Cricetulus griseus: one gene and its partners. The protein of the gene in region 1 interacts with the protein of each later gene in a biochemical or structural test. Links are inferred from orthologs where the notes say so. Each region holds a gene or a part of one and is shown in the gene's direction. Other genes may lie near its edges.

What was found.
Region 2: of the proteins of Rnf168 (region 1) and histone H2AX, one has a biochemical effect on the other in vitro, tested with the Homo sapiens proteins (2 studies listed by BioGRID). The link is inferred for Cricetulus griseus from reciprocal best matches to the Homo sapiens genes RNF168 and H2AX.
Region 3: the proteins of Rnf168 (region 1) and Sqstm1 form a complex in vitro, tested with the Homo sapiens proteins (2 studies listed by BioGRID). The link is inferred for Cricetulus griseus from reciprocal best matches to the Homo sapiens genes RNF168 and SQSTM1.
Region 4: of the proteins of Rnf168 (region 1) and histone H2A.Z, one has a biochemical effect on the other in vitro, tested with the Homo sapiens proteins (3 studies listed by BioGRID, with this or other methods). The link is inferred for Cricetulus griseus from reciprocal best matches to the Homo sapiens genes RNF168 and H2AZ1.
Region 5: the proteins of Rnf168 (region 1) and Ube2n form a complex in vitro, tested with the Homo sapiens proteins (2 studies listed by BioGRID). The link is inferred for Cricetulus griseus from reciprocal best matches to the Homo sapiens genes RNF168 and UBE2N.

The regions. Positions count from the first base shown.
Region 1 is NC_048597.1:57,245,457-57,249,585, reverse strand, and holds the start of Rnf168 (E3 ubiquitin-protein ligase RNF168), read left to right. Parts: upstream 1-1,323; coding exon 1,324-1,471; intron 1,472-1,561; coding exon 1,562-2,158; intron 2,159-4,129. UniProt on the Homo sapiens protein: E3 ubiquitin-protein ligase required for accumulation of repair proteins to sites of DNA damage. Acts with UBE2N/UBC13 to amplify the RNF8-dependent histone ubiquitination.
Region 2 is NC_048597.1:156,021,591-156,024,759, forward strand, and holds histone H2AX, read left to right. Parts: upstream 1-1,312; 5' UTR 1,313-1,393; coding exon 1,394-1,825; 3' UTR 1,826-2,668; downstream 2,669-3,169. UniProt on the Homo sapiens protein: Variant histone H2A which replaces conventional H2A in a subset of nucleosomes. Nucleosomes wrap and compact DNA into chromatin, limiting DNA accessibility to the cellular machineries which require DNA as a template.
Region 3 is NC_048600.1:64,667,243-64,671,240, reverse strand, and holds the start of Sqstm1 (sequestosome-1), read left to right. Parts: upstream 1-1,187; 5' UTR 1,188-1,235; coding exon 1,236-1,440; intron 1,441-3,750; coding exon 3,751-3,846; intron 3,847-3,998. UniProt on the Homo sapiens protein: Molecular adapter required for selective macroautophagy (aggrephagy) by acting as a bridge between polyubiquitinated proteins and autophagosomes.
Region 4 is NW_023276806.1:21,775,362-21,779,414, reverse strand, and holds histone H2A.Z, read left to right. Parts: upstream 1-1,248; 5' UTR 1,249-1,402; coding exon 1,403-1,405; intron 1,406-1,880; coding exon 1,881-1,958; intron 1,959-2,268; coding exon 2,269-2,382; intron 2,383-2,745; coding exon 2,746-2,875; intron 2,876-3,135; coding exon 3,136-3,197; 3' UTR 3,198-3,575; downstream 3,576-4,053. UniProt on the Homo sapiens protein: Variant histone H2A which replaces conventional H2A in a subset of nucleosomes. Nucleosomes wrap and compact DNA into chromatin, limiting DNA accessibility to the cellular machineries which require DNA as a template.
Region 5 is NW_023276806.1:161,500,789-161,505,015, forward strand, and holds the start of Ube2n (ubiquitin-conjugating enzyme E2 N), read left to right. Parts: upstream 1-1,419; 5' UTR 1,420-1,577; coding exon 1,578-1,607; intron 1,608-4,227. UniProt on the Homo sapiens protein: The UBE2V1-UBE2N and UBE2V2-UBE2N heterodimers catalyze the synthesis of non-canonical 'Lys-63'-linked polyubiquitin chains. This type of polyubiquitination does not lead to protein degradation by the proteasome.

The DNA.
Region 1 (4,129 bases):
AGACCAGCCTGGTCTACAAGAGCTAGTTAAACCACTCAGAAGGTGCCTTATCCAGATGAGGAAGACAGGAGACTCATATTCACCCAGTGTACTAAAAGATTATCTCAACAACAGATAGAGTCTGGATACTTTCTGCCAAGCTGTGGACCTTAAGTCTTTAAAGAAGAGGGCTGCAGGCATCAGGGTTGTGACATTAGAAATAAGTGTAAATGTCAAATTGTCACAGGTCCGAGGATTCTCTGTCTCAAACTTTCAACTTTCCATTGAGATCAGCCTTCTAACAGATTTACAGGGGAGCTGAGCCAGAGTCTGTTAGACCTGGAACTCTATGTTGCCTGAGTTGGACTTCAGCTTTAGATCCCCTTGCTTCTGTCTCTACCTTTATCACCTAAAGGTTGGGATTACAAAACACATGTGACCACACCTCTCTCAAAATACTTTTCTTTCTTTCGTTTTTTAAAAAGGTCTCTTTGAGTAGTACTGGTACCCACTGTGTAGACCAGGTTGGCCTCTAACTCAGAGATCCTCCTGCGTCTGCCTCTGAAGTGTTGGGATTAAAGGTGAGTGCCACTATTGTTCTTTTGTTTCAAATGCTAGGATAAAGCTGAAAGGGGGTCCTGCGTGGGGGACCGTGGCAGATTCCATGGCTGGCAAGGGTGACCAAGGCGGGGGACAAACATGCCAGGTAGATAGAGCTTAAGTGAGAAGTTTCATTAGAAAAGGAAGGGAGGGGGCAGGGAAGGGGAAGGAAAGAGAAAAGAAGTAAAGAGACACAGAGGGAGGGCAGAAAAGCAGAAAGAGAGGAGAACGGAAGAGCAGAAGAGCCATCACCTAAGAGAGAGCAGGAAAAGCAGAGAGGAGAGCCGGAAAGAGCAGAAAGAGAGCGTAAAATCCGCCTGCCTCTGCCTCCCGAGTGCTGGGATTAAAGGCGTGTGCCACCGACGCCCGGCAAAGCAAAAATTTTTTTAGCTGAATTTGTTGCAATTTTTTTTTCTTTTGGCCCTAAGAACTTTGGAAACTTTGGTTAGGAGATACAAAATGTAGTTCTAAGAGTACTGAGAGAATAATTATCAATATTACTGCTTGGATCTTGCTTAGCGAGTTCACTTTTGAGCCAGTGACTAACCAAAATTTTCACAGCCTACACGGATGAAACCACCTTAGACTGGTGGAGCTGCGACAAGCAGATAGGGCTCGACTGCGCGCGCGCGCAGCTCCCGGAAGCCCCGCCCAATCGAGAGGGTGCTTGGGTAAGGAGGGCCGTTTTGGCGGGGAATTGTGACGTCTGTGGACGTGTGTACCTGCTCCTGCCGCCGCCAATGAATGGGCCGGCGGCGCAGCGGATCTGAGCGGCTGGGTCTCGGGACCCTCCGCGAGGCGACCAGGAGCTGTAGCGCGGGGACTGTAGCACTGCCTCCGCCTCAACGGCGAGACGGAAGCCTAGCGGCGGCCCGAGCCCGACCTCCGGGCGGTACGAGGTGCTCTCGGAGCGGCGGTCCCCGCTTCGGGACCCGGCAGTCCCGGCGGCCTCGCCCGAAGAGGCGGGTGCTCACCCGCTGAGGTGAGGAGGGGAGCTGGAGCCGACTGTCCGCCCCGCGGGGAGCCGGAACCACTCACCGACCCGAGCCGGCTGCGCTCTCGAAGGAACGTTCGTTCATTCCCTTGCTGGACGCAGGGCATAACTGCTCGCCTGTTTGCCTCGAGCCTCGGGAAGGTCAGCCTGTCTGGATTCCAGTACGCTGCCTGTGTGTCAGAGTAAATACCAAACCGCTCGCCGGCTTCCTTCGTACCGTGGTTAGCCGAAAGGCTGGTTTCTTTGAGCTCTTGACGTTGAGTAGGCCTCGTGAGCGTCTGGAGATGGCGGCATCCAAAGAGGCCATCCCTTCCTTAGCAGAGTGTCAGTGCGGCATCTGTATGGAAATCCTAGTCGAGCCGGTAACCCTTCCCTGCAACCACACGCTCTGTAACCCGTGCTTTCAGTCAACTGTTGAAAAGGCCAACCTGTGCTGTCCCTTCTGTCGCCGCCGGGTCTCTTCGTGGACTCGGTATCATACCCGAAGAAATTCTCTTGTCAATAGAGACCTGTGGGAGATTATTCAAAAACACTATGCAAAGGAGTGCAAGCTTAGAGCCTCTGGGCAGGAATCAAGGGAAATCAGTGAGTAAAATTCAACATGGTTTTGGGGTTAAAAAGAAAAAAAGCCCAAAATGGTTTAGAGAGGTATCCATCACTTTTCTATTTAAAGAAAAAAGGTGTGTGGGGGAGGAGGGAGGTGGTGGCGCACGCTTTTAATCCTTGGGAGGCAGAGGCAGAGGCAGGCGTATCTCTTGAGTTCAAGGCCAGCCTGGTCTATAGCGCTAGTTCCAGGACAGCCAGGGCTACACATAGAAACCCTATCGGGGGGGGGGACGGGGGGGGGAGAAAGAAAAGAAAAAGAGGACTAACTAGTCTAAATTGACCTTGGGGATTTGTGGTTTTGTGAACCCCGCCCCCATATCGGTTAAAGGCAAAGGCAAATTTTTTTTATCACCTGTAATAATGCTCAAGTTGTGTTCACCAGCTGTGAATTGAGTTTTTAAAATTGCAAAAAAAAAAAAAAAGAATCGCCCCTTTAGAGTTGTCTAACTTCTCAAAGAATTGTGTGGTCAAATTCCAGAGTTCTTTGGCTTTGCATTACTTTCTCTGACCTGTTTATTAATTTCCTTCATTTTATGCTCCGTCCTTAGTATGCAGCAAGCCAAAAATAGATTCCAATTGCCAGTTCCATCTAGTTCAGTCATTTTTGGTTGACCCCTTCCATTCTGGGGGTGCAAAGAGCTACAAACTGATCCCTAGTCTTTAACACTATACCAGTATTACAAGCCATTCAGTATTTCCTTTGGGGCCTGAATGTGGTGTTGGTCTGTAGAGTACCTGCCCTTTATGTGTTTCAAAACACACACACACACACACACACACACACACAGAGGTGACTGGGAGTGGTGGTGCACACTTTTAATCAAAGTACTCAGAGGCAGGGGCAGGTGGATCTGAGTCCAAGGCCAGCCTAGTTTACAGAGAATTCCAAGACCTCAAGGGCTACACAGAGAAACTGTGTCAAACAACTAAACCCCCACAAAATTTCCCGTCTTAATCATTTTAAGCAACAAATCTTGAACAAGAAACCCCCAGTTTTGTAGAGATGCATATGGTAATAGTCGCCTATTTAAAATACTGCTTAAAGCAGGGTGTAGTCCTGCATGCCTTTAATCCAATCACATGGGAGGGAGAGTCCAGAAGTCGGATCTCTAAGTTGAAGGTCAGCCTCCTCTCTTTATTTGAGCTCCAGAACTACAACAGAGACTTTGTCTTAAAATGGCACACACCTTTATTCCCAGCACTGGGGAGGCAGAGGTAGGTGGATCTCCAAAGTTCAAAGCCAACCAGAGAGAGCAAGCATTATGTGCATGCAGGAACCCTTGGAGATCAAGAGAGGCATCAGATCCCCCAGAACTACAGTTAGGACAGTTGCAATCAGAAATTTCTTCTTATTCTTTTTTTTTTTTTAAGATTTATTTATTTATTATGTATACAGTGTTCTGTCTGCATATATCCCTGCAGGACGGAAGAGGACACCAGATCACATTACAGATGGTTGTGAGCCATCATGTGGTTGCTGGAAATTGAACTCAGGACCTCTGGAAGACCAGCTAGTGTTCTTAGCCACTGAGCCACCTCTTTAGCCCAAATTTCTTATTTTTTTTTTAAAGTTCACTTGATAAATAAAAATAGCCAAGATATCAAGAGAGCAAAAGGCAGCCCACAAAATAGAAGAAAAATATTTGTAAATTATAGATAATAAGAAAACAGACAGCAAACATTTGTAATTCTAACACTTGGAAGGCTGGGGCAAGAAAGAGGTCTGCTGCAAGTTTGGGACCAGCCTACGCTATGTCAAAAGAGTCTGAAAATGGGGCTAAGAAATGGCTCATCAATTAACAGCACTTCTCACAGAGGGGACTGGGTTCAATTCCCAGCACCCTCACCAGGCACCTCCTTATAACTCCAGCTGCTGAGGATCTGAGGTCCTGCCCTCTTCTGGTCTCCATTGGTGCTTGCATGCCTGTGCTGAACATAAAACTCACAGGC
Region 2 (3,169 bases), about 99 Mb from region 1:
TCTTATGCAAATACAGCTCAACTTTCAGAGCCCTGCATTTGCTGGACCTTGAGAGAGAACCTGGGCTATGTGCTAGAGTTAGGGCCCTATACTCCAAGGTAACCTCACATTTGACTTTAAAATTAAGTGTTCTGATTAGGAAGATCAGAGGCAGGGCCATGTGCTCAAAATGGTGACAATAAAGGATTGTCTTTTACTTGCTTCTCTCCCTCAACCTCTTTTTCTAGCCTTTGAGATACTTGAGGACTGAACTCTTTTTTTTTTTTTTTTTTTTTTTTTTGGTTTTTCGAGACAGGGTTTCTCTGTATAGCTTTGGAGCCTATCCTGGCACTCGCTCTGGAGACCAGGCTGGCCTCGAACTCACAGAGATCCACCTGCCTCTGTCTCCCAGTGCTGGGATACAAGGCTTGTGCAACCAACATCCGGCCTGAGGACTGAACTTTGTTAAGTGCTCTACCACTGAATAAATCTATACATCTATCCCCTATTTATCTTTCGTATGGGCATTTTAGGATCGATTGGAAGGGTTGGGGTGGGTACCCTTTCCAAGAGAATACCTACCTCTGTTCCATCAGACCCCTTCCTGCAAGAAGTGACAGAACTGAAACCAGACAGAACATGTTGAATAAATATTAAAATACTAACTTGTCGTAGCACAAAGGATCACAGCACTCAGTTTTCTGGCATAGGATTGTACTCTCAGGTTTCATTTCTTCTCCTTTAAACCCTCCCTTTGCCAAATTTGAGGAGGGCGTGGGAGTGCCCCTGACCTGGAAGGAGAACTCTTTCCCTTTTTAACTTTTGTTAAAATGTTTTTCGAAACAGGGTTTCCCCTTGTAACCCTGGCTGTCCTGGAACTCGCTTTGTTACCAGGCTAAGCTTGAACTCAGAGCTCCCCCTTCCTCCGCTTCCTGAGTGCTTGAATTAAAGGTGTGCACCACTATCGCTCGGCTAACCCTTTTACTTTAAAACCCTTGGCCGGCCCAGATTTCCCAGAGACAGTCATGCGCCTCCAGACTCCACCTTCCTAGTCTTCCGGTTCTGGTGGCGCGCAATAGCGTTTAAATTTCGCGCGCTTAATAAGGATTGGCCACTTCCATGGATGATTAGCCTGCTGTTTGCGGCCACTCCGCCTTGCTTTCTTCCCCGGGTAAAAGGTTTTCAAATTGGACCAATCGCTGGGCGAGCTCTTTTCGCCTAGGCGCGTCACCGAAGGGTTAATTCCAACCAACCAGAGGCCGGTACTGGGGAAAAGAGCCAATCAGGGGGAGGCGGGGGCGTGTCCATGGAGTTTATAAGGGCGAGCTCGCCCGCGCGCGGCGACAGTTGACTGCGGCGGTTGGCAGTTTTCTTTCGTCGTCGGTGTTGCTCTCTGCTTTCTACCTCGTATACGATGTCGGGTCGCGGTAAAACCGGAGGCAAGGCCCGCGCCAAGGCGAAATCGCGCTCCTCGCGCGCCGGTCTACAATTCCCGGTAGGCCGCGTGCATCGGCTGCTGAGGAAAGGCCACTATGCCGAGCGCGTGGGAGCCGGCGCCCCGGTGTACTTGGCGGCCGTGCTCGAGTACCTCACCGCTGAGATTCTGGAGCTGGCGGGCAACGCGGCGCGGGACAACAAGAAGACGCGCATCATCCCGCGCCACCTGCAGCTGGCCATCCGCAACGACGAGGAGCTCAACAAGCTTCTGGGCGGCGTGACGATCGCTCAGGGCGGCGTCCTGCCCAACATCCAGGCCGTGCTGCTGCCCAAGAAGACGAGCGCCACCGTGGGGCCCAAGGCGCCGGCGAGCGGCAAGAAGGCCACCCAGGCCTCTCAGGAGTACTGAGGGAGCCCGCGCCCTGGCCGCCCAGCCCTCCCCACACCTCCACAAAGGCCCTTTTAAGGGCCACCACCTCCCTCACGGAAAGAGCTGAGCCACTTAGGGCTGCGGGCCGGGCCGCCGCGTTCCCATTCTCTTCCCCTTTCTCTGCCATCGCGCGTTTCTGCCTCCCCTTCCCTGCACGGCCTCCGGGTCAGGCGCCGCGGTACTTATCCATCGCGGAGCTTCGCCGGTCTCCGTCTCGATGGGCCGCGCGGAGAGGTTGCGACACCTTCCAGAAGTGTCGGCCTTTTGCTGTGACGTACGGCTGAGGTGGGCCTGAAGGTGAGTTACTCTGCAGCTGCAACCCGGGCGTCCTTTCTTCAGCTTGGTGCTTTAGCCCTCGCCTGGACCTTCCAGAAGTGACTTGATTACCAGGCTTTGGTGAAGAGAAATGGATCATATTGTTTGGTCCTGTGTTTTCCCCTTCGTTGGCCTCATACCAGTTTACCCCATCTTCGTTCATCGGCCGGTGTGTGGTGTGGCCGGGACAAAATCACTGTAATATGAGCTGGTTTTCTCCAGGATGCCTCCTGGAAAGGGTTTGGGAGAAGCTTACAGGCCTGTGGACAGAAGAGCTGTGTTCTTGCCGCAGGAGACTGGCAGCCGGGCCTAGCTATCCCCTTTTCTTCCCAGCGACTCAATTCACAACCCAAACACCTAGATACCAGCACAAGTCGGTGAATCCCTATCTGGACTGAGCCTCTACTGGCTTCTGAACTGGAATTTTGCAGCTATCCCAAGTTTAGAACCTTAGGTAGTGGGGAGTTTCAATGGGCTAATTTTATTAAATGGTTGTTCTGTTTTTTTAAAAGATGGAGTGTCTTGATTAATTTCGAATTGCTGTAGGCCCGGGGTTGGGGTTCTATAGCTCCGTGGTAGAGCCATGTACCTGGCATGTGTTGTGTTGGGAGGTGGGAGTGGAATTGTAAGTTCCCTTAGAGCAGTGGGGATGGGCAAGACTGTAATACAAGTAGGTTCTGTTAACTGAAAACAGGCAGGCTGTAGGAATTGAGGCAGTTTTCTCTTTGCTCGGTGCTTCCTGGGATGCATTCTGAGAACATGAGGCAATTAGAAAGTATTTCAACAGAGAAGTCCCAGACTCAGAATTCAGGTTTAAAAGGGCTTTGGGTTTATTTATATTTTCCCCAATTCCACCAAAACAACCACATTGAGAGCTGGTTTAATATTAGTGGCATTGGTTACATTCGAGATTGGCACTGACTTTTTCTAAAGAGATGAAGCCCTAACTACTGAGGAGGAAAGGCGCAGTCATCAAGGCCCCAAGGTGATTCGTGTCTCTGGAAGTCT
Region 3 (3,998 bases), on another chromosome or scaffold:
TCAGCTTTCCAAGGGCTGGGGTTACAGATGTGTGTCATCATGCCCAGCTAACAGGTCACTTTTGCCACACAAAGCACCTCCTGGTTTTGGCTTTGGTACTGAGGGGAGAATTTAAAAGCACTATTAGGCACCGAGCTATGTCCTTATGCACTAATCCCTCTGAGGTGTATCCCTACTAAGCTAAATCCCCATGAATTGTATCTTTACTCAACTCCAAACCCAGCCTTTTATTTTACTTTATTGAGAAGCGGCCTCATATAGCCAAGGCTGGCTTTGAACTCCTGTTGGCTCTACCTCCCAAGTGCTAGGATCACTTTCTATTTGGAGAGCATTTCACCAATTTGCTCAGGCAGACCTTGAACTTGGTATCTTCCTGCCTCAACACCTCAAACAGCTGGGATTACAAGCCCATGGCACAGGACTGGCTAAGGCTCACATTTTGATTTCTAGCTGGAGTGCAGGTGGTCTAACACCTTTGGCTGTCTATGAGGCCAATAAGGCCTGAGATATGCCCACCCCACCCCCTGATTAGAGCCCCAGTATGTGAGTGGGGGGGGAGGGGACACGGGTGGTCACCATTGATGCTTCAGGAGTCCTGGCTACCCTCCTACAGGGTGGGTTTGTGGGAAGTCGCTCCAGTGCTTGTCCAATACCTCCCAACCTGATCCTTGTTAAATTGGGTCAGGCCTAAGATGGGGGGTGATGTGCCTTTATCCAGTTAAGGGCTGGTCATGGTGGATGTAGGGGTAAGGGGGGTAGGGGAGGGGCGCTACTACCCGGGACACTAAGCTTGAGAGGGTCGGAACAACATCCTTTGAACCAGCTTGTTTGGCCTCCTGACAGTAAGCATCTGAGTCCTTCTCGTTTCTGTGCTGGGCATCCCCCCTCAGCTTGGGGACTACACTGCTGAGTCATAGGCAGGCCCAAGCCTGGGACGCGCCTAGGCTAGGACCCTTACCAGACTTTTCCTCAACAAGTGGAGGCTGAGGCTGGTCTCTTGGGGGTCACCCTTGTCTTGGAAGGGAGAAAAAGGAGTTGGCAGTAAGAGCGCCCCTCCTATACCTGATAGGGACCCTGTCAGGGGGGCTCGCGTGCCGCAGACTAACCAGCTGGGAGGGGCGGGGCGCAGAGAGGCCCCGCCCATATGAGGCGGGGCTCCGTTTCTTTTTATAAACGCTGGGCTCGCCTCAGCCGCAGCAGCTGCCCAGCTGTTTCCCCGTACCTAGTCTGCAGTTATGGCGTCGCTCACCGTGAAGGCCTATCTTCTGGGCAAGGAGGAGGCGGCCCGAGAGATCCGCCGCTTCAGCTTCTGCTTTAGCCCGGAGCCGGAGGCGGAGGCCGAGGCCGCGGCGGGTCCTGGGCCGTGCGAGAGGCTGCTGTGTCGGGTGGCCTCGCTGTTCCCCGCCCTGCGGCCTGGGGGCTTCCAGGCGCACTACCGCGGTGAGGGGCCTGTGCCGGGGCCGCCGGGGTGGGGAAGCCGGGGTCCTCCGCCACGGTGTGGCAGGTCTGGACGAGGACGTGGCAGGGCGTCCTCTGCCTCCCCGCGGGGACTGGGTGGTCAGGCGGCCGCTCAGGTGACGGCTGACATCCTGCCGGTCGCTTGTTGGCAGTAATGCCGAGTGGTGGGTTCAGTTAAAGCCCCGGAAAAAACAGGGACTGACAGACGTGGAGGAGGGGTGGAGAGCAGTGACGCGGGTAAACAAGCGACGGGGGCGGGGTGGAGCGGTCTGTGGGAGGGGAGGTCGGGGACCCCGGAACTAGCTCAGTCTCGGCGTTGGAGTGGCTGGAGACTGCATGGGGTGGGGCTAGAAATTGTTGACAAGAGAGACGTGGCCAAGGCCCTCCCTATGGGATGATCTTGTGGAGGACTGTTAGTCCGTCAGTCTTTTTTTTTTTTTTTTTTTTTTTTTTTAAGGTAAAGCCACGTAGCCTGATTGGCCTTGAACTCCCAAGTGGTTTAGGGTGGCCTCACTCAACTTTAATCCTCTTGTCTTGTTTCCCAGTACAGGGATCACAGGTGTTCATCACCACTCCGGGCCAGAAAATTTTCCGTGTATTGAGTTATTATGTAATTCACCCGGTAAAAGTGTGTAGAGGCCAGGAGCTGGTGGCGTATGCCTTTAATCCCAACACCGGGGAGGCAGAGACAGGCGGATCTCTGAGTTTGAGGCCAGCCTGGTCTACAGAGTGAGTTCTAGGGCAGCCTCCAAAGCTACAGAGAAACCGTCTTGAAAAACAAAACAAACAAAAAAAGATTGCTGTTTTGTATTAGCAGAGACGGGTCTCACTGTGTGTCTGGGCTGGCCTGTATCCCTAAAGTGTCCTTCAGAGTCCTCTCTGCTTTATATTTTGCTAGGGATCCAGTCCAGGGCCTCATGCCTGCCAGGCCAGCACTCTATTAACTGAATTCCCTCCCCAGATCCTTGTATTTTTTCTAACTGAATTATGTAATCACTATCATGTTCAATTTAGAATCTCTTGTTTTATAAATTTTTATCTTTATTTATTTTGGTTTTTCAAGATAGGGTTTTTCTGTATAACCCTGACTGTCCTGGAACTCGTTCTGTAGACCAGACTGGCTTTGAACTTACAGAGATCCACCTGCCTCTGCCTCCTGAGTCTGAGGACTAAAGGTGTGCACCACCACTGCCTGGTATAAAATGGAGTCTTAACAAGGTAGATTTGTTCATTCACTTATTAATATGTCGGAGGCCCACCATTTGTATTGTAGCTCTCACCAGTATCCCCACCCCCCCATCCAGTACTGGGGCCTGAACCCAGGGCTTTGTTTGCTAGCCAAGGACTCCACTTCTTTGCTTCATCCCTGGGTGGTACTTCGTTTCTTTTGGTGGATGAAGAATAATTTGTTTGGATATGTCATGTTTTGTTTATCTGGTCTTTAGTTGGTGGGCACTGGGCTGTTGGTAACTTTTGAGGTCTCCTCTCTCATATATGGTAGCTATTGCTGGCTGAGTGGTTGCCCACAGGCTTAGCCCAGCCTGCAGATGTGTGATGAGGTGCTTGAAGACTATTTGTATTAACTTATAAACATACATGCTTGGCTGTAAATCCCAGAGGGGTTTGAGAAATGTCTCAATGGTTCTTTTTGTTTTGTTTTGTTTTGTTTTGTTTTTTTGAGACTGGGTTTCTCTGAATTTTCTGGAGAGGCTGTCCTGGAACTTTCTCTGTAGACCAGGCTGGCCTTGAACTTACAGGGATCCACCACCTGCCTCTGCCTCCCGAGTGCTGGGATTAAAGGCATGTGCCACCAATGCCCCGCTGAGATGTCTCAATGGTTAAAGCACTTGCTGCTCTTCCAGAGGACCCAAGTTCTGTTCCCAGCACTCATACTTGACACCTCACAACTACTTGTAATTACGGCTCCTAGAGATCAACACTCCTGTTTTGGCGGAGGATGGGCACCCCCATACAGATGTGCTCAGCCTTCTGTGTACAACTGTAATCTAGGACCTAGCTTGGAGCATGTATTCATCCAGTTTGTGTCAGAGTGAATGGCCATACTGCTTTGTGCCCCAGTATCCAGGCTGAGTCTAGAGTCTCTGAAAACATTCCTTTAGCAGTGGGCTTTGTACATTGTAGCAGTGTGTACCCAGCATAGAGGTCTGGATGCCTCTGCTGCCTTTATTTTCCTTCTAGTACTGGGAATGGAGTCTAAGACTTGCATGCTAGTGTTTCATCCCTGAGCTGTGTCCCTGGCTGGCTCTGATATATTGTCTTTTAACAATGTAGATGAGGATGGGGACTTGGTTGCCTTTTCCAGTGATGAGGAACTGACAATGGCCATGTCCTATGTGAAAGATGACATCTTCCGCATCTACATTAAAGGTACGAGCTGCCCTAGGGCACTACCTGAATCCAGGTGCTTTTTATAGATCTTCCCTCTAAGAAAGGGTCAGGAATCTGAGTTGTCTAGGACAAGGAAGAGCTCTGTGGCCTGGGAGTTGCAGGCTCCTGCTGTGTGGGCCATGCGTGTTTAA
Region 4 (4,053 bases), on another chromosome or scaffold:
AGCATGCTTGAGTTCCATCCCTGCAACCCATGTACAGGTGGAGAGAGGGAGAGCCCACTCCACAGGTTGTCATCTGATTTCCACAAAGTCTTCATGGCATGTGCACCTGCAACCACCCACACAATAATTTTTCTTATTTAAAGAGTTAAACATTAAGTACTGTAAATATGAAAGATTTAGATCATTATGGTCTCCAAGCAGCTAAGTGATGTACACAGGGATTGTCGACCTGCTAACTGCACGTCTAAGTGACTGGCATCAGGACAGGACCGTGTGTACGTACAGTCCTACTTTTTCTTTTTTAAGCCCGGCATTTGTAATTGATTACATGAACCATCTGTGGCTGCTTGTGAATCATGTTACAGTTACCCCACTGACATTTACCCAACATTTTTCATGTGGCAAAATGTTTAGTGTCGGAAAGCTGACACATAATAGCTTTGATGATTCAATAAATCAACTTTAGACACCAGGCTATAGGCGCATCCCCATTGATGTGGAGTCTCTCTCGGCAAAATTATGGCTGATGATTTCATTATAATAACGCTTCATCCTGAGCTTCCTGTGTGTAGACAAAATTATTTGTTATCACCAAGGTAACTTGACCCCCACGGTTGTTACGAGACAGGATGGGAGGGTGAGGGGGGCGGTCAAAAGAGGTGAGGACCGGAGCGGAGGAAGATGAAAAACAACCTCCGGCGGGGGTAAGAGACGGTCTCTCAGGGAAGTGCTTCAGCAAGTGCGGGCCGAGCCGAGCTCCTCTCACTGGAGGCCTTCGCGCCACCTGTCACAAAGGAGGGGCCCGCGGGGAACCGAGGTCTGCGGGGAGGGGGGGGGGACGGCCAGGCCGACCGGAGGACGCTGCGAGGCCCAGGCTGGACCGGGAGGCGAGCTCACGTGGTCTCCCGCACACCGCGGGAGGACGCCCGCGCGCCCGTCCCCAGCCTCTCAGCCCCGCCCTCCAGGCACGTGACCCCGCGTCCGCTCTCGCGCTCGCCCGCGCTCCCTCCTCGGTGGCGCAGGGCTCTGTGTCTGCCCTCCCGCCGCGGCGCCCTTCCCCTCCCGGTCCCGTCCCGCCGCCTCCCCCACTCTTCCCCCTCCCCACCCCTCGCGCGCCAATCACGGCTCGAGCTCGCGAGCGCCCGCCCCACCACCCTGCTTCGCGCCCTCCCATTGGCCGGAGCCTCAAGGACGCGTCCCGAAGGCGGGCGGCGACCATTGGTGGGCCGAGCCAGCCGAGTTCCCGGATGAGGGAACATTCTGCGGTATAAAGGGCGCGAGGAAGGCGGGAGACGGCGCAGTTTGAATCGCGGTACGACGGAGGAGTGGGCGCCGGGATCTCGCTGTGCGTCCGCCTGGCCTCGTCTCTTGCTCGCTTGTGCGATCTTCAGCACGGTCCGAGATGGTAACGTGAGAGTGACGGCGGGCCGCCGGGCGGGGGGCGGCGGCGGCCGCGAGCTGCGGGCTTGGAGCGGGCGGGGCCGCCGTCGCCGGGGCTTGGGCGAGGCGGCGGCGGCGGGCGGGAGCGTGCGGAGACGGGTCGGGGACGAGCGGAGGGAGGTGTTTGGTTGAGCTCGGAGCTCCGGGAGGGAGGCGACGGTTGGAGGGGGGCGCGCGCGGCGCAGCTGGGAGCCGGCGCGGGGCGCGCGCGGGGCGCGCGGCGGGGGTCGGCGGGCGGGCGGGGAGAGAGGGCGGGGGCGAGCGGCGGCCCGGAGACCCCGGCGGGCCGCGAGCGCGCGCCCGCCGCCCGCCCGCCCGCCTGCTCGCTCGCCCGCCTCCGGGACGCGCGGCCGTGGGGGAGGGGCGCGCCGCTCCGCGCCGCCTTGGTAATTCTATCCTCTCCGTCCCTCCCGGGCTCGCGGGCGTCGGCGGCGCCGCAGGCTGGCGGTAAGGCTGGAAAGGACTCCGGAAAGGCCAAGACAAAGGCGGTTTCCCGCTCGCAGAGAGCCGGCTTGCAGGTAGGCAGCTGCTGCCGCAGACGCAGCCCGGGTGACCCGGCCTTTATCTTTGCACCCCCTGGCTTGTTTGTCGGCGCCTCGCATGGGTGTTCCATCTTTTGCGTGGGTGATGTGTCGCGACTTGGCCTTCGGAGACTGAATGTTGGGGCGGCGGGGGCTGGTGGGGGGGGCGTCGATCGCGTGTGCTAACTGCCCGGGCGCCTTGGTGCACCACCGTCCTTGGCTTTGGCGCGCGCGCGCATCATCTTTCCATCTCTGAATCTCCTCTATCTTTGTGCATTTTTGTTTGTGTGCATAAAAAAAAATCAAGTTCCCTGTGGGCCGTATTCATCGACACCTGAAATCTAGGACAACCAGCCACGGCCGTGTGGGCGCGACCGCCGCTGTGTATAGCGCAGCCATCCTGGAGTACCTCACCGCAGAGGTAAGCGGGAGTGAGTATGCCTGTGATCTGGAAAAGGTTTGGGGGGCGGGGGGGGGAAAGTGGGCGAGAGGGAAGGAGGAAAGTGATGCAAGAAAACTCCCAGGCCCTAAGCGCGGCGCTTAGGCAGAGAGAGGGCGCTAGAGGGAGCTAGTGTTCAGCCAAGGATCCCGCTGAGCCAGAGTTTGCTGCTGTTGCAAAAGCAATTGCGTGCCCCTTCAGTCCTTTGCATCATTTGCATAGTTTTGTCATTCAGGTAGTGGGGGGATGACGACAGTTGGTGGGTTAAACACCACTGACGTTTAGCCAGCTTCCTGGATCTTGACTGAAGGGAATTGGAAAATTGATCAGAATTTTGCCTTTTAGGTACTAGAATTGGCAGGAAATGCATCAAAAGACTTAAAGGTAAAGCGTATTACCCCTCGTCACTTGCAACTTGCTATTCGCGGGGATGAAGAATTGGACTCTCTGATCAAGGCTACAATTGCTGGTGGTGGTATGTTATCACTGACACTCGGTTACTTTCCAATAAGAAAATTCCTACATTTTCATTGCTTCCAGAAGAGGGCATTTAAATATATTTTATAAATCATGGTGGTTTATGGAATTTGGTTTACACAACATCATTCATCATTTTACTTTATGTTTGAATTTTTTTTTAAGACCTTTCAAGTTGTAGATTTACCTGCTTTGATTTCATGTACTGTTTCAAAATGTTTCTACAAAAAGTAGAATTAATCCTTGTCACTTTCCTAGGTGTCATCCCACACATCCACAAATCTCTGATTGGAAAGAAAGGACAACAGAAGACTGTCTAAGGATGCCTGGATTCCTTATTATCTCAGGACTCTAAATATTCTTAACAGCTGTCCAGTGTCGGTGATTCCAGTGGACTGTATCTCTGTGAAAAACACAATTTTGCCTTTTTGTAATTCTATTTGAGCAAGTTGGAGGCTTAATTAGCCTTCCAGCCAACCAAATTTCTGCATTCGAGTCTTAACCATATTTAAGTGTTACTGTGGCTTCAAAGAAGCTATTGATTCTGAAGTAGTGGGTTTTGATTGAGTTGACTGTTTTTAAAAAACTGTTTGGATTTTAATTGTGATGCAGAAGTTATAGTAACAAACATTTGGTTTTGTACAGACATTATTTCCACTCTGGTGGATAAGCTCAATAAAGGTCATATCCCAAACTAGTTTTAAACTTGCTTGATGATTACTACTAGATCTCATTCAGCTCCCCTACCTTCTTTGCTTACTAATCAAACACTTCATCTGTAGACCAACAAGTCATAACCAATTTGTCATAATGAACTAGGCATGCTGTTGGACATTCACAGTAACTGTGAAAGGCACTGTATCACAATTTGGGACAGCTGGACCGGTAGAGACCCCCAGGTATAACATAATAACCTCCACAGAATGAACTTAAGATGTAGAAGTTAAATCATTCTCAGTGACCAGACACTGTTGTCAACTGTGAAATGCTAGTCACAGGGGATGCGTGCTATTTTCATAGACTAGGGTAACATGATGAAAACATTGATACATATCAGGCATGTTCCTTAAGAGCTTGAGAAAACGCATCTGCCCCTTTCACCCTACCGAGACAACATGCGTGCTCCTTTCTGAGGCAAAAATTGGTAACAGGAGGTGGTATGCATGCAACCTCTGC
Region 5 (4,227 bases), on another chromosome or scaffold:
AATCTAGAAACACCTAGGGAAAAAAGCCTCTGGGCATGCCTGTGGGGGACTTAATTGATGTATGGACACCCATCTTAATTGTGGTTGTCACCTGGGCTGTATAAACAGAGAGGTAAGCACTAGCATGAAAAATTCGATGTGACCAGCTGTCCTTAACTATGGTGATTATCCCCTTTGAACTGAAATTAACCCCTTTTCCTTTAAGTTGCCTTGTGGAGTATTGTGGTGATATTTTATGATCTAATAAAGCTTGCTTGAAGATCAGAGTGCAAAGCTAGCCACAGCCATTCAGGCCAGACAGTTGGTGGCACACACCTTTAATCCCAGAAGACAGAGGCAGATGGATCTGCGTTCACCACCACCCTAGGAAAACCTGTAGGGAGGTGGAGAGAGAGGAATCATAAGGCAGAAGGAGACAGGAAAGCTTGGATTTAGAGGTTGGTGGAGAGCAATGCAGTCTGAGGACAAGGATCTCCCCTTCCTTCTGAGCTTTGGTAGAGGTGAGAACTCTCTAGTGGCTGGCCACTTTGTTTTTCTGATCTTCAGCCTTAACCTCAATATCTGTCTCTGAGTTTTTATTATCAATATCAACTATTATTCGTGCTACAGGATATTTTATCACAGCAACAGGAAAAGAAATGAAAACACCCAACAATCCCTTTTGGGACCCCTCCACTTTTAGGGCCTTCACTCTGAAGGTACTCCTACTCCTTTAGGGATTACTCCCCTACTTGTTGCAAATCCTTTTGGGGTGGGGGACAGGTCGGAGAGCCCCCCTCCCTTTTTTTGTTGATTGTTTGCTTATCAAGACAGGGCTTCTCTGTGTAACTTTGGAGCCTGTCCTGCAACTTGCTTTTTAGACCAGGCTGACCTCGAACTCAGAGATCCTCCCGCCTCCGCCTCCTAAGTGCTGGGATTAAAGGCGTGCGCCACACCGCCAGGCGAGGCCCCCCCCCTTTTTTTTTTATGTGAAATTAAAACATTTAGAATTATTTGTCAGGGCCTTGACAACCAGTTTCCCAGTTAGAAGCTTTGCCATCGAGTGCTTCTCGTTTGGAACAAGCCCCCCGATCACCAGGTCGACGGAGATGCGGCGCAGCGTCAGCCCGCCGCGCAATGCGGGAACATTGAATGAACAAATGGAACGAATGAATGAATGAGCTACGCCGGGGGCCGGGCCTTTGTTACGTCGCCCACCGGCGCAGGCGTGGTCGGTCGCACGTACGCTACTCGTGGACGCCGGACACCCAGTCTCGCGCAGATTCTGCCGCGGGCGAAGCAGCTCGGCGCTGCCTGGCGCCGCCTCCCCCAAGTCCCTGCCCCGCCGCGGAGCGTCACTTCCGCCACCCCCGGCTGGGGTTGGGGCGGGGAGTGCGGGGGAGGGGGCCATCAGGTCGGACGGAAGGCCGCCCGAAGCCCGCGTCCAAGCAGGGACTACATTTCCCGAGGGGCCTCGGCGGAGGCAGCGGCGGCGGGCGCGGCGACGTCCCCCGGAAGTGGAGTCCGGGACTTCCACTCGTGCGTGAGGCGAGCGGAGCCGGAGACAAGAGCAGAGGCCGAACTCGGGATCTGACAAGATGGCCGGGCTGCCCCGCAGGATCATTAAGGTAACCGCCCAGGCGGGCTTCGGGCCTCCCGCTCGGCTCTCCTCCACCAACGCGCCGGGCCGCGCGGCCATACGCTTCACTCGGCAGCCGCTGAGGGGCCCGAGGCATCGCGGAGAAGGGTCTGGCCTCGGCGGCGGGGAAGTCGGGCGCTGAGGAGGGGGCGCCGAGGAGACTTCCGGCCGCCGCTGAAAGCCGGACGCCGGGGGCTCTCGGGCTGCGAGGCCGCGCGCGGCACGGGAGGCCAGGCCGGTGCCGGTGCCGGGTGGAGGGCGGGGCTGCGGGCTTGGCGTCTGGCGCGGGACCGGCGCGGGCCTCGCCAGGCTTTCTTCACCCGCGGGCGGGAATCGCGGCGTGGCCTGGACTCCGGGCGTGGGTTGTGGCCTGGGCTGGCCGCTTCGCCCCGGAGCCCCCTTCTCCTGGTCGGCGGTCTCGGGTGCAGAATGAATGAACCGGCCCCGAGAACCGGGCGGGGCCGCGGGCCGCGAGTCCAGCCGCCGACCGCACATGTTCGTCCTGGCTGCCCGCGGTCGGCGGCGCCGGGGGCTTGGCGCCCGGGTGGGTGTCCTGCCCGCCGTGTTCGCTTCCCCGCGTTGCTGCCGGTTATCTCCGCGAAGTGATTTTACTCCGGTTGGCAAACTCTTTTTTCTTTTCTTTCTTTATTTTTTTGGCCAACTGTTTTCTGTTCCGAGGCACTGGTTCAGCCCAAAGCATCTCGGTTATGGGGATGATCTGTAATAGTTCGCCTCTGTTTTCGTGCGCCTTCCGTATACTAAGCGGTCTCGAGGCTCTTTAGGAATACTGTGTTTTGGTGAGTACGTATGGAACCATGAAAAAACTCGTATCTTGATTTTCTGAAGTCTTTACATAACAGCGTTGAGACTTCAGACACGATAGGCATCTGTTTTTATGAAGGATATTTAGTTAAAAAAAAAAAAACCCTACACTGCTCACCATGCCAGTGATATGCCCATATTGAAGCTTCGTTTTGCTTGCTGTAATCTAGTGAGCTTGAATTTACAGCACTGTTCACTCTTCTGAAGTTTTGGGCGAGATTTGTACTAATTATATCGAGGGCCCCTTTGAAGGATGTGATGCACTGTCTAGTCCCTCGGGCAGTCACAAATGGGTGTGAGGTTGGGTGTATGACAGAAAGGTGCTTAAATTAGAAAACAAGACCATTTATAAGACATTCTTAGGAAGAAAGAATAAATTGTCAACGAGCACTGTAGTCTTGACATAAACTTTTACTGCTATATTATGAATCTCAGATTCTTTCAAAGTAGATTTTAATTGTTAGGTCGTGCGTTGGAAAGTCCTGACTCGTTTAATTCTGATACAGAGACATGAACACTAGTGATCATGTTAATCAGGATTCCATTTGAAAAATGATTGCTTCCCACCAGACCACCGGGTTTTTATTGTTTGGTTAGGGACTAAACATACCACAGATTGATAATGAATATAATTCTCTAAAATTCACACTGAACCTAACAGTTGGTGTAGTTTTTTTTTTTTTTTTTGATTTTTGCTTGATTGTGAAGATTAATATTCTGCAGTAATACAAAAGTCTTGATTGGGAAAATAAATTCTGTGGAATATTGGCTATAAATTTACAGAAATGGTTTAAAGTAGGATGTTGAGGAGCTTGTTTAATTCATTTGGTACACAATGCTTAAGCATATATTCAGTGTTGCCATTTTGCTATTTTAAAACAAGGTAGTGGTAAACTCGTGCTGAGACATACAATCTTTACAGTATTTTATTGCACCCACCTCTAATTTATGTAATATTAATTGACTTCAGTACTTATAGCTTTAAAGGATTTTTTTTTTTTCCCCCATCAATAGGGCAGGTTAAGAGATTAGAATAATTTTTTTGTTTGTTTTCGAAGCAGGGTTTCTCTGTGTAGCTTTGGAGGTTGTACTGGAACTCACTCTGTAGACCAGGCTGGCCTGGAACTCCCAGAGATCCTCCTGCCTCTTCCTCCCCAGTGCTGGGATTAAAGGTGTGTGCCACTGACACCCCCTAGAATAATTTTTAGATCCATTTTTATATTATGTAGGTTCTATAATCAGTTAAAAATATGCTTTTTCTACTGTTAGGGATTGAATTGAAACTAGCTAGGACTTTGTATGTGCTCTGCAAATGCTTTACCACCAAGCAACACCTCAAGCAGAAAACGTATTTACATTAAAATTTATTTTGAAAAGTAACTTTTGGGCCAGAGAGTGCTCAGATATGGTGCTTGCAAGCTTTCTGAGTTCTACCCTTAATACTGCACACAAACCAGTTTTGGTATTGTATTTAAGTGTTACTTTTTTTTTTCCCCCCAAGACAGGGTTTCTCTTTGGAGCCTGTCCTGGCACTCGTCTGTAGACCAGGCTGGCCTGGAACTGACAGAGACCCACCTGCCTCTGCCTCCCGAGTGCTGGGATTAAAGATGTGTGCCACCACACTTGTCTGTCATGGTGTTTTATACTTATGATTCTAATGTAATAGAGGAAGGAGGGTTTAGAAGTTTATCATCCCTGGCTGCTTAGGGGGTTGAGGCCTGTCTAGAATATATGAGACTTTGTTTCAAACAGGTTAATACAATACTGGGGTCTATGTGACTAGAACA